Linked DNA regions of Drosophila melanogaster. The protein of the gene in region 1 purifies or fractionates together with the protein of each later gene. This does not show direct contact. Each region holds a gene or a part of one and is shown on either strand. Other genes may lie near its edges. The genes, in order: up, CG14207 and TpnC41C.

Evidence for each region.
Region 2: the proteins of up (region 1) and CG14207 purify together in Drosophila melanogaster (affinity purification with mass spectrometry, with the first as the bait; one large-scale study listed by BioGRID). This does not show direct contact.
Region 3: the proteins of up (region 1) and TpnC41C purify together in Drosophila melanogaster (affinity purification with mass spectrometry, with the first as the bait; one large-scale study listed by BioGRID). This does not show direct contact.

The regions. Positions count from the first base shown.
Region 1 is NC_004354.4:13,600,533-13,604,292, reverse strand, and holds the start of up (upheld), read left to right. Parts: upstream 1-1,714; 5' UTR 1,715-1,875; intron 1,876-1,927; exon of another isoform or gene 1,928-2,064; intron 2,065-2,638; exon of another isoform or gene 2,639-2,925; intron 2,926-3,760. UniProt on the Drosophila melanogaster protein: Troponin T is the tropomyosin-binding subunit of troponin, the thin filament regulatory complex which confers calcium-sensitivity to striated muscle actomyosin ATPase activity.
Region 2 is NC_004354.4:19,603,535-19,607,294, reverse strand, and holds the start of CG14207 (uncharacterized protein), read right to left. Parts: upstream 2,097-3,760; 5' UTR 1,792-2,096; coding exon 1,613-1,791; intron 1-1,612.
Region 3 is NT_033778.4:5,068,429-5,072,188, reverse strand, and holds the start of TpnC41C (troponin C at 41C), read left to right. Parts: upstream 1-1,978; 5' UTR 1,979-2,201; coding exon 2,202-2,207; intron 2,208-3,760.

The DNA.
Region 1 (3,760 bases):
TTGGCAAGCCATGCATAATACCTAGACCCATACATATCACATACACATACATATCTAATTATCTATGCATACATATCTATCTATCTGCGTATCTGGTGTGTGCATTTTGCATTTCGCAGAGGTGCAGATACAAAAATGTTCTAAATTTAAGATACTTGGTAACCAAAAACGAAATCAAAACAAATGCCGAAACTTTGCGACTATATAGTAATTTTACTATTGGAGAATATTGTAATATATATAATTTTAAAATAATATTCATCGCATGTTTTTAATTTACACAGAAGTCTATTTATTTGAACAACTTGTTTATGCAAGGAATTAAGAGAAGTCTTAAATTAATTTTTCTATAATCATATATAATGTAATGTAATCATAATATAATGTAATGTAATCATATATAATGTAATCATGTATGTATAAAAATTTTTACCCAGATTTTGAGGAACTTTGAGATAGCCCAAATATTTTTTTTTGCAGTATTAATAATTTAAGAAGATACAAGTGCAAGCGAAAAACTAAAAATTTTTTTTTTTTTTTATATTCTTCTAGAATTTATATCTAATTTTATGAAAAATTTGGCAAAAAAAAAAACAACGGAAATCGATGTTGATGAAAGTACATTTTTAAAATATTGTAAGTTTTTGCTTTATTTTAATTTTATTAATACTAGAATACAGAAACAAAATTAAATACAGAACAAAATATGTTTCACTACCCTTACTTAATACAAATATTTCTTATGTGTTATGATGTTTATTAAACGATATGAAAAAATTAATTTTTTTGGCAAAATTTACATATAGGAAAAAGAGATTTTGTCAAATTCTTCAAATTGATTTTGTATGCTTCGAAAAAATAACCCAATAAAGAATGAATTAAATTCGATAGCTTAAAGTGCTGCAAGGCGCGTAAGTGTATCTGAAACTATTTGCCAAAAGTATCTGTTAGAAAGTAAAATAAAAAAAATAGCATAGAAAAAGGAGAGAAATAAAAAAAGAAAATCGGAACAATGACGAATAGATTCAAGTGTTAGACAAATGGCAATGCGATGGGGCCACCTAAGGCCGTTCGACGTCAGCAGTTCGATCGCGATATAGATATAGGTAAATAAATATATATATATATATATATATATATAGGGGGTGATCGGTGATCGCGGCGGACTGGGTTGGAGATTTTGTAGGGCGTGCACTCTGGGGTTCAAATGCTGCAACGATCCGCTGAGGAATCCAAACTATATGTGCTATATATCGGCACGAACATCTGTACGTATATATTATAGAGCAATATATGCAGGCCGACTTTTTAATGGCTGTGAAATTTATGCTCTACGATATTTGATTCCAAAAACAAATGTGTAAAATGCCGCCAACGCACCGAACGTCCGTATGCGCTATATACTTATTGTATGATCTAGTTATGTGCGTGCGCCATTATGGTCTAATGTATAGTATATACTAATATCGTATGCCTCATCTCGCTCTGGCCAAAATGGAAAATTGGAAAACTCGACGGCGGCTGTGTGCGTGTACAAGTTTATGTTTCAGCTGCAGCCCACCTGAAAAATTCACCCAAAACACATCGAACACAGCCAACACAGGCAGGCGCACCCACCACCACCCACTTGTTGCCACATCGGCCAGCGATATGTGGCATATAGCGCTGGCCTGCTCGCACACATGGCCAGCTATTGGCTATATAGAAAGGCGATCGGTGTGTGCGTGGAAATGGCTTTTCCGCGAACGCGACGAAAAATTCTTTAACATAACGTGTAGCAGCGCTTTTCATCGTCAGTTTGGTTAGTCGAACCGCAGCATTCGCTCCTACGACGTCAGCTGCTCGGACTTCAATTCAATTTGTTTTTCTCCCTAAGTAAGTTTTTTTTTTTCTGTTTCTGCTCTACTGCTGCTTCACATCTCCTTCAAATGCTGCATCACCAAAAAAATAAAAAGAAAATATAAAATAAACTTGTGTGCCTAAAAACGAAAAGAAAGTTATCGAAAACGAGAAAACCGAATCCTTTGCGAATAAACCACGAACCACGAACATCAACAAAAGAAAGTTACGAATTGGAAAATCCTAGTGTTATATAACATTTTATTTTTTTTTTTGAAATTTTTTTAAAGTGCAATCTACGAACAAATAGTGCGAATAAATGACTTGAAAGCCACCAAAAAAACGAACTCTGAAGCCAACTTTTTCAAAAAATTTTTTTTTTTTAAACTTTTTTTTTTTATTATGGCTAAAGGCTAAAAATAATTTGAAAAAATTCGCCCAGGCATTGGCGGCGCCAAAAACAATATTCAACGGCAACTACAACAACAGGATTAGCCGCAGCAGCAACAACAACAACAAAATCAAAAGCAACAACAATGCCAGACAGGAATCTATACATATAAATATACATATACATATATGTATATCTTTTTGCTTTCTGAAAGTGTTATATGATCTGAGAGGAAAAGTTCTCAAATTTTTTTCGACGAATTTTAAAAATAAATTCGATTCGTATGTGTGCGCGAGCGAGTGTGTTTTTACCTTGGCAAAATGTCCAAGATACACACACACACACACACAGAGAAACACACACACACAGATACGTAGAGTGAAAACTTTTTTCAATAGCTTTCCGCGCAGGCGCCGATCAGATATGTTAAAGATATAGTAGGCGAAAACGAGACGGAACTATAGCCACCCACACAAGATCGATGGCGAATAGAGATCTGGAGATTTTTGGAGGATATATATAGGACTATAAATGGAAACAGGGCACAGATAGATTGAATTAAAGAAAGGGAAATTTGTAGAGTAAATTCGATAAGGATATAATGACAGGATATAAAAACAGCATATGACAGTTTTATGTTGCTAGGCAGGAAGTAGCTAACACTTACTCAAACTTTGAACTTGAAAAGACAAAAAGTAAGATTCAAAACCATGTTTTTGAAACTAACATGTATGATCAGTAACATTTTTGTATATGTAAGTGTGAAAAGACGATAGACGTATATTTCTGATAGTCTGTCGGATGATATTTAGATCATTACCAGTTTCAATTGAAAAGTTTGTTCAATTTTTCCAGAACTTTTCTCAATACATTTCACATCATTTCCAAGCACTTGCCCCAAAACTGACCCAGTTTATCTAAGGCTAAAAATACAAGCTCAGCAATTGCACTTCCACGCAAAAGTGCAAAGATTATAGAAATAGAATATTCATAATCATAGAAATTTCAAATAGCATATTAAATATATAAATTCGTGGCATAATAACTGGCATAGATATATACAGGCGATCTATGAATGGCATTTGATTTGATTTTCTTTTCATTACACACAAGTACGCCCAAATATATATCAATACATATACATATATAAATTGAAAAGCTTCTTTAGATTTTCCGATTTAGTGCCAAGGTAAAAAAAAAAACGAAAATTTTCAAAAAAGGCTTTGTCCGAAGCTTTTTGATGTTTTCGGAAGCTTTCGGCTCTCGGGAAATTCAATACTGCCCCAAAGTCTATTTTTAATTGAGAAAAAATCGGAGGAAAATGAAAAAACACACATACATAGATTGGACTACGACTCTCTCCTTCGCACACACACAGTTATAGATTGTGGATATAGATAGCATGGGAAATTAAATAATTTTAGAGCAGAGCGTACGGAATTTATCGTTTATTTTTTTCTTCTTGAATTTGAAAGATTATGATGTGAGGACGAGACATTGTTGCCGGCTATAAAAAGACAGGTCGCCCTG
Region 2 (3,760 bases), 6.0 Mb from region 1:
CCTGTATATGGGGCGTGCGTTTATTCCGTGCTGAGTCATTCAGATATCACGCAGCGCTTCAATTGACAACACGCCACAGCCACAGCCAAGCCGCTTAGGTCAAAGGTTGCGGACAGTGGGCAGTTATGGGCGAATGATTGAATTATTTGGCAAGTATATATCCAATACTACTACTAAGCTACTAAACTACGTGGCCAATCTGTGGCGATTATTAGGCTAATCGCCCGAAGCAAGCCCTGGCGCACAACTTATGCCGCCACTGTGAGTTTCCCTTCATTTCCAATTAAATTTGCAGCCAGGAGGGCACAATACCAATTTGGGTTAATTTCCTTTCACTGCCAACTTTGACGTTGAATGGGCAAAGTTGTGGAGAGGAGCGCTACCAAGTTCTGAAACAGACGGAAGTCTGGTGGGGGGGAGGGGGGTGGAGTCGTAACATTTCTGTTGTGGCCATGCAAATGCAGTGGCGACCATGGCGAAGGCAACAACAAATAGAGTCCATCGGTTCGATTGCGTCATACGGCGAGGTCGTCCCAATAGCAACCAAAACTGGCGCCCACGCAACGCAACTCCAATGGAAAGGCTAACGAGACGCGCAACCGCGACGGCGTCGGCGACATAGTATTTGCCATTCGCCTTTGGGGCATTGTTTGTTTATTAATCGCTGATTTGGGCAATAAACCTATGTTCATTGAAAATGCCACTCGTAACATTCAACTGGAATTTCTCTCTCTCCCTCTCTCTGATTCGTATGAATATGCGAGGGTGTTAAAATACCGCCGAATCACTTAATTGACTTGCAAATGGAAATAGATTGCTAGGTAAACGCGTTTGTCACTTATGTATGCTTTAAAAACAAGTAACTACAAATGGAAATAGTTAGAGATTTAATGAACATTATTCATGTGTGCCACCGATCGTTTCAATGCTTTGCGTTTTCAAATATTTAATTTTGCTCGCAGAGACCAGATTTTAATATCTTATCTCATTATCAACAATTACATTTTTCTGCTCAGCTAGAAACCCACACACACACACACATATAACGGAATATCTTGGCACAGGTGATTCTCAAAGTTCGAAAAATTCCGTTATGCCCTACATAACGGTTGCATAAACCGTATGGGACTCGAGATCGAGCGAAAGGGGAGGGCACAAGACGCTGGCTAGCCATGTGCCGGGGCGGGGGAGGGGGATTTACTAGCGGGTGGCGGGCAGCAGATACACATGTGTTTCTTGGCCGGAGACAGCGGCGGAGAATTTAGAACTGGTGACTCATCCTCCCCCAGAGCGACGGCAAAGAAATACACATAGTGTATCTGGGGCGAGAATTGAAGCGGGCCGCTCGCCTCCTATGAGGCCCACTGTTTAGTACATACATATGTATGTATGCACGTATGTACATATGTACATACGTAGGAGAATCTGTGGGTGAAGAGCTCCAGACCAGTGGGCGATGTGGCAAGATGTGCGCCTATATTTAGAGGAGCCAACAACGAGGCGATGAGTCGAGCGATTCGGGATTGGGTTCCATCGCAGTACACCCGGTAGAATCAGGCTATGTGGAATTATCCCAGTGTTGGGATCCCACTTGTATCACTATTACGCTTACCTGGTGGACTCGAAGAAGTTCGCCTCGCGGTTCATCAGCTCGTGACGGAACTTGGCCATCTCCTCCTCCATTTTGCGCATCTCGGAGTCGAAGCGCTCGCGGATGTTGCTGAACTCCGTGTCGATGACGCTGAAGTCGCCCAGCTTGATGGGGATATTCCTCTTGTTAGCCTCGGCCATTGTTGTGCTGTTTGTGGTGGTTTATTTGGTGGTTGCTTCGCTAGATGGAATCTCCAATCTCTTCGCTGTACACTGTATACCGTATATACTGTATATACTGTATACCGTTCTATTATTCTCTGTTCTGTTCTGTTCTGCTCAACGCGCTTTCGAGCTTGTTCACTTGCTAATCGACGGAGCAACCAAAAAAAAAGGGAACTCGATGGGTTTTCTATATGTATTCGAAACTCAAGACGTTCAAGTGTGTGATTTCGGTTGGACGTATCGCACAGATAGCCGCGTTTCAATTTCTGAACTGTTTTGCATTCACAGTGTGTCTTTGCTTTTATAGCTTTCGTACCGATTGTACTTCGATTGCCGCTGCGCAGCAGTGTGGCGATATCGATAGACCGATGAAGCCGCATTTAGTCATCGATTTGCGGATTTGATTATGTTTCTATTGCCATTGGATCAAAAAGAACTTCTATCCGCAAAGGGAATTGTTTAAGCGTACTTTAACCACTAATCGTTAGCGGACCACCCAAAACACTATATTCGCTGTATTGATTTTGTATTTTATGGAAATAATGACGCACGGGGAACACATTTAGAAGTGAAACAATAGTTGTAAGACAAATTTGGTTTATACAAAATGACCGAAAACAAGGAAGCCATGATTTATTTTCCGTTAATAAGCTAGTAATTCATAAATGCAATGAAATAACATAACACATTTCAAAGCTCCTAAAAAACTTTCTAGGAACAAGTGTTCAATTAGCAACAATTAATTAGTTGATGATCAACTTGATCTTGATAAGTATGCTTAAAACTTCTCGCGTGGGAGCCATTCAGTCATGGAAGTGAGTTCCTCGAACTGTGATTCCAATTGCATCTGGTTCAGCATTTGTGTGCTGTGAGTGCGAGTGGAAAGTGTGAGTATGAGTCGTGTTGAGTTAACCGGTTAACCGATCAACGCTTCCTACCGTTTTGGGAAATGATCTTCGGTATAGAGAGAAAGAGAGAGAGAGAGAGAGAGAGTTGCACATTGGTGGAAAGTGCATTTTCCGTCCTGCGGTGGGTTGGCATTATCCATCGTCCTAAAATAGAACATCTATGGCGTGATGGCCCACGATATCTTGTCCATATTCGCGGGGTTACTTACACCCAGAGCTCATCATCATTAAGACCTTAAATCAAAAAGCCAATTCCGCCCATTGTGCGAATCGATAAATCCCAATATTAGACCGGGTGGGTGGAGAACGTTGGCGGCCCAAATACACGCAGAAAAATATATGTCATATATACATATGTAAATTTAAATATCTCTATGCTGAGCTAAGATTGGAAATTGTACTGTTGTAAGCTTGTTAGCTATAATAGGATATGTTTCCTAATCTAACAGAGAGGCATTATAGTATCTTAGTATCTGTGTCGTTTTCTGCCAGTGTGCTTGGCCATATCCATGGTACTACCCACTCCGCCGCATCGGTTTGTTTGTAAACAAATGCGAAATGACTCAGCCGCGTGACATTGGCGGTCGGAGTCGAGAATCGGGAATCGAGCCAAGTCGAGTCCATTCGATTCGATTCAATTCCTTTTAGGGAGCGTCGGCCAGGGGAATTAAAATTTAAATTGAAATTAATGAGAGCCGGATTGCAAAGTTGCAACTGCAGAAAAAATGTGCGATATATATTCATAAGTTTTATGAACCATATGCATATTTAGCTAGACAAACTAGATTTTTCTTCAACTTAACAATTGCATCTCTCATCCATAAGAAAACTCATTAGCTGGAAATTTGATATCTTTTAAAGCTGTTATTGCCTGCACATAACTTACATTCTTTTGTTTTTTTTTTTTAAGTGCAAGTGCGACATATTAAAATGCAATATTTTGAATCCGTGACCGTTTTACTGCTCGAAATTCCATCGGGGACAACGGCAGTTGTGCCATCAAAATAATTATAGACTTAATCACGAATTTCGAAAAT
Region 3 (3,760 bases), on another chromosome or scaffold:
GAAATGTTTGCTCGGGTTGCCGAGCCTCAGAACCTGGTTTACAAATAATCGTAGTTAACACGGATGGGAAAGCTCTGCGACCATGCCGGAAATACTCGCAGACGGCATAATTACAGCTATACTGGTGGCAAGCTAATGCACACGGGGCCGGCTACACGCAGGCGGCACCGTTGCAGGTAACACTGCTGAGAAACTCTACGAAAATGCCCGTAATACTCGGAGACGGCATAATAGTAGTTAACACTGATGGGAAAACTCTGCGGCAATGCCCGGAATACTCGCATGCGACATGATCACAGTTAATACACGGACTCGTTCATTTGTTACTCATATTCCTCCCTTAGCCATAGCTGTCCCTGTCACACTCGAAAATGAATATGATATTATATAATAAAAAAATTTGATTCTTCACAACGGGCTTGTTCCACAGTTTTTGAAATCGAAGGCCATAGGCCAGACTGTCTTATTTTAGTATTCAGAAAAAATATTGCCACCGACTTAGAGTTGGACTTATCAATCCAAGGGAATCAAACGCCTTTTCTATCGTAGAAAGAATTGATCGTCTTGTTCTGTTACGAAGATACGAATTCATATCATAAGTCCAGTTTGAACTTACAATCCGATCTAGATATCTTTCAAATATGGTGCCGTGATAACGTACTAAACTTAAATGGCTCCAAGTGTAAAGTTATGACCTTTTGCCGTATCAACCAATACACACAACTTGCACTTAAAGGGTCGCTCTTTAGACAGAATAAAACGGGTTGATGATCTTGGTGTTTTTCTGGACCTAAACTTAAATTTTAGACCATATTTCGAATATTAAATAAGGCCAGGGGTGTGCTTGGCTTTATAAAAAGGTGGCCAAAGGAATTTTATGATCCTTACACGACCAAAACCTTAGTCCGTCTGATTTTTGAGTAATGGCCACCTGTCTGGAGTCCTCAATACGTCGTTCACTCGGACCGCATTGAATCGGTCCAAAAAAACGTTTTTCTGTTAACTCGGGCAGCGCCCAAGTTATCAGTGTGTCCAAAGGGGGAAGCTGATGAGTTTGGATATAGTTATCGGTATTCCCAAAGGGGGCATACTGAGCTCTTTCGAGTTTAAAACCAGAGTGGTCTTTATTGTGTCGGAGAAGTCTCCTCTAGCTCTTGGTTACTCAAGTTTTTGTCTTATAGATAAGTGCTTTTGGTTTTAAGTGTACATAGGTTCTTAATGTAAATATAATAATTTTTTTAGATTTTGCACCACTTACGGGGAGCATTTTCGAAATGTATTCAAACATAAATTGGCCAGAAGATAAGCAAATAAAGCAATAGATCCGCTATTCAGCTAGTGAGAGCGGGACCGATTTTTGAAACTTTCTGATCAAAAATGTATATACTTTATAGGATCGGAAAATCAACCTTCTGCCTGTTACATATTTAATAACGAATCTTGTAGTCAAGGGTATAAAAAATATATTCCGTTGTTTTATGTTTCATAATATGATTTTTTCATGATTTTTTATATATAATAACTGCGAGGGTGTATAAGCTTAGGAAATGTTATATTTTTATTCTATTCATAATTTTTTTGACCAATTTCTATAAGTATGCCCAAAAAGATTGGCCACGTCCACAATAAATGTAACCGCTACCAGGTTGCAATTGTGAGTAATCTCGTGAAGAGTGTTTTCTAATTTTGTTTTTTGTGTCTCCATTTCCCTTACACTCCCACACGCTGAGTATCAGAAGGGCGAGAAACAAAATTATAGCGTTCGCTCTTGTTTTTGAATTGCAATTTTTGTTCACAAATACCATTTTATAATACGTTCCAAGATCTAATGCAATGTACGGTTTATAAAAATAAAGAATTTTGATGAATATTGTGTATCTAAAAATAAAACTCTGAGTATTTTTCTGTCTTGTGGATAAAATTATCTTTGAGTTACATGACATACGGAATATTTATGTTGTCTTTTTTATTTGGTTTTAATTGTTGTTTTTGTTTCAACAAAAATAGTTGCAGAGCTATCATCGTATTAAGTCTAAAATGTTCCTGAATGTTGAGATGCATCCACAGAAGACACATAGCCCATATGTGTTTTAATCGCGTCAATACCAAGTTTATTTCTCGTCTTCAATTGTTTATTTAGCTTTTAATTAACGGAGTGTTCAATTTTTTAATATTAGAGATTAATCCAAAGAGCTAAAAAAATGAGCGTAAGTTAATCGGCAAAAAAAATAATCCCAGTATAAGTTTCCAAGCTACTTCGAGTTAAAATTTCAAGATTAAAGGAGTCAAAATTATTTCAGATGATCTCAATACTGAACGTTTTTCAGGGTGCAATCAGTTCAAATAAAATAAGTAACGATATAACGTTTTATATAGAGAGTTAATGCTTAACGCCCACGTTCCAGCAATGTTTGCTCGATAACTTTTCAATTAAGTCAGAGAATAAACATATTGTACATTCAACTAATATTTCTTTAAACATCATTAAACAGCTCACACATGTATTTGATTTGCAAATACTACATTTTTACTTTAAGGAATCTTACGTTTTTGGTCCGTCTGTCAGTCAGTCCGTCTGTCCGCATGTACAGGTACATTTACATCTATATACACCCATTCTTGATCACTAGTCGAATCGACCAGGTCATGTCCATCTTCCTGCCTATCTAAGGTATAACAAGAGAGAATGCTATAGTCGAGTTCGCGAACGCGAATTGCATTATTTTTCTGGGATATCGACAGATATTGGGGAGTAAAATGAGAAAAAAATAAAGAAAAGTGTGGGCGTGACCGATTTGGCGGCTTTAGGGCGTTTGAGTGGCGTGGCAAAAAGTTTTTTGGCAAATCTATAGAAATTTACAAGACCTTCTAGCTTTTATAGTTCCTGAGATCTCGACGTTCATACGGACAGACGGACGTGGCCAGATCGACTCGGCTATTGTTCCTGATCAAGAATATATTTACGTTATATAGTCGAAAACTCTTTCTTCTGCCTGTTACATACTTTTCAACAAATCTAGTAAACCCTCTACGAGTAATGGGTATAAATATCGAAATCCGTGGTTAATTTGAAAGTAGCCTTAAAGATTCTTCTGAATCCGTCGTTTCTATTTTCTAGCTTTTATGGATCCCAAAATCGCGTGTATATGATCAGAATAGCTGACCAACTGACGACCAGATTGACTCGGGTAGTGGTCCTGATACTGATTATGCTTATACCTATATTCTTTTTAGGGACGAAAAAGCTTCTTTCTACAAAAATATCAAAGATGGGGTTTATTGAATTTGTTACTTTTCTAAAACAGAGATTCATATTTAGAAAGAAAAGGTAAAGAAAGTGCTCTAGTTAACAAGTTAAGTGGGTCAAGATTAGTGCAGATAAGTGGAGCTAACTTGAGAACATCTTACTAAGAAATAGAAGAAGAGAGAATGCTATAGTGGGGTTCTCCCAGTTTTCTGCGGTATTATGGCGTTAGAGTGGGCGCGGCAAAAAGATTTTTGGAAAATCGATACAAATTTAAAAGACATAAAAGTTTTTTTGCAAATCGATAGAAATTTACAAACAAAAAAATTTAAAAATATCAAAACATTTTTAAAAAGTGTGGGCAATTTTCTGCGATTTGTGGTCGTTAGAGTGATCGTGGCAGCATGAGTCAATGAACTTGCCTTCCGTATATGTCTCTAGAATCTGTAAGCTTAATTTCAGAAAGCTGAAATCGAGACGCTGAATACGGACAGACGGACATGGAAATATCAACTC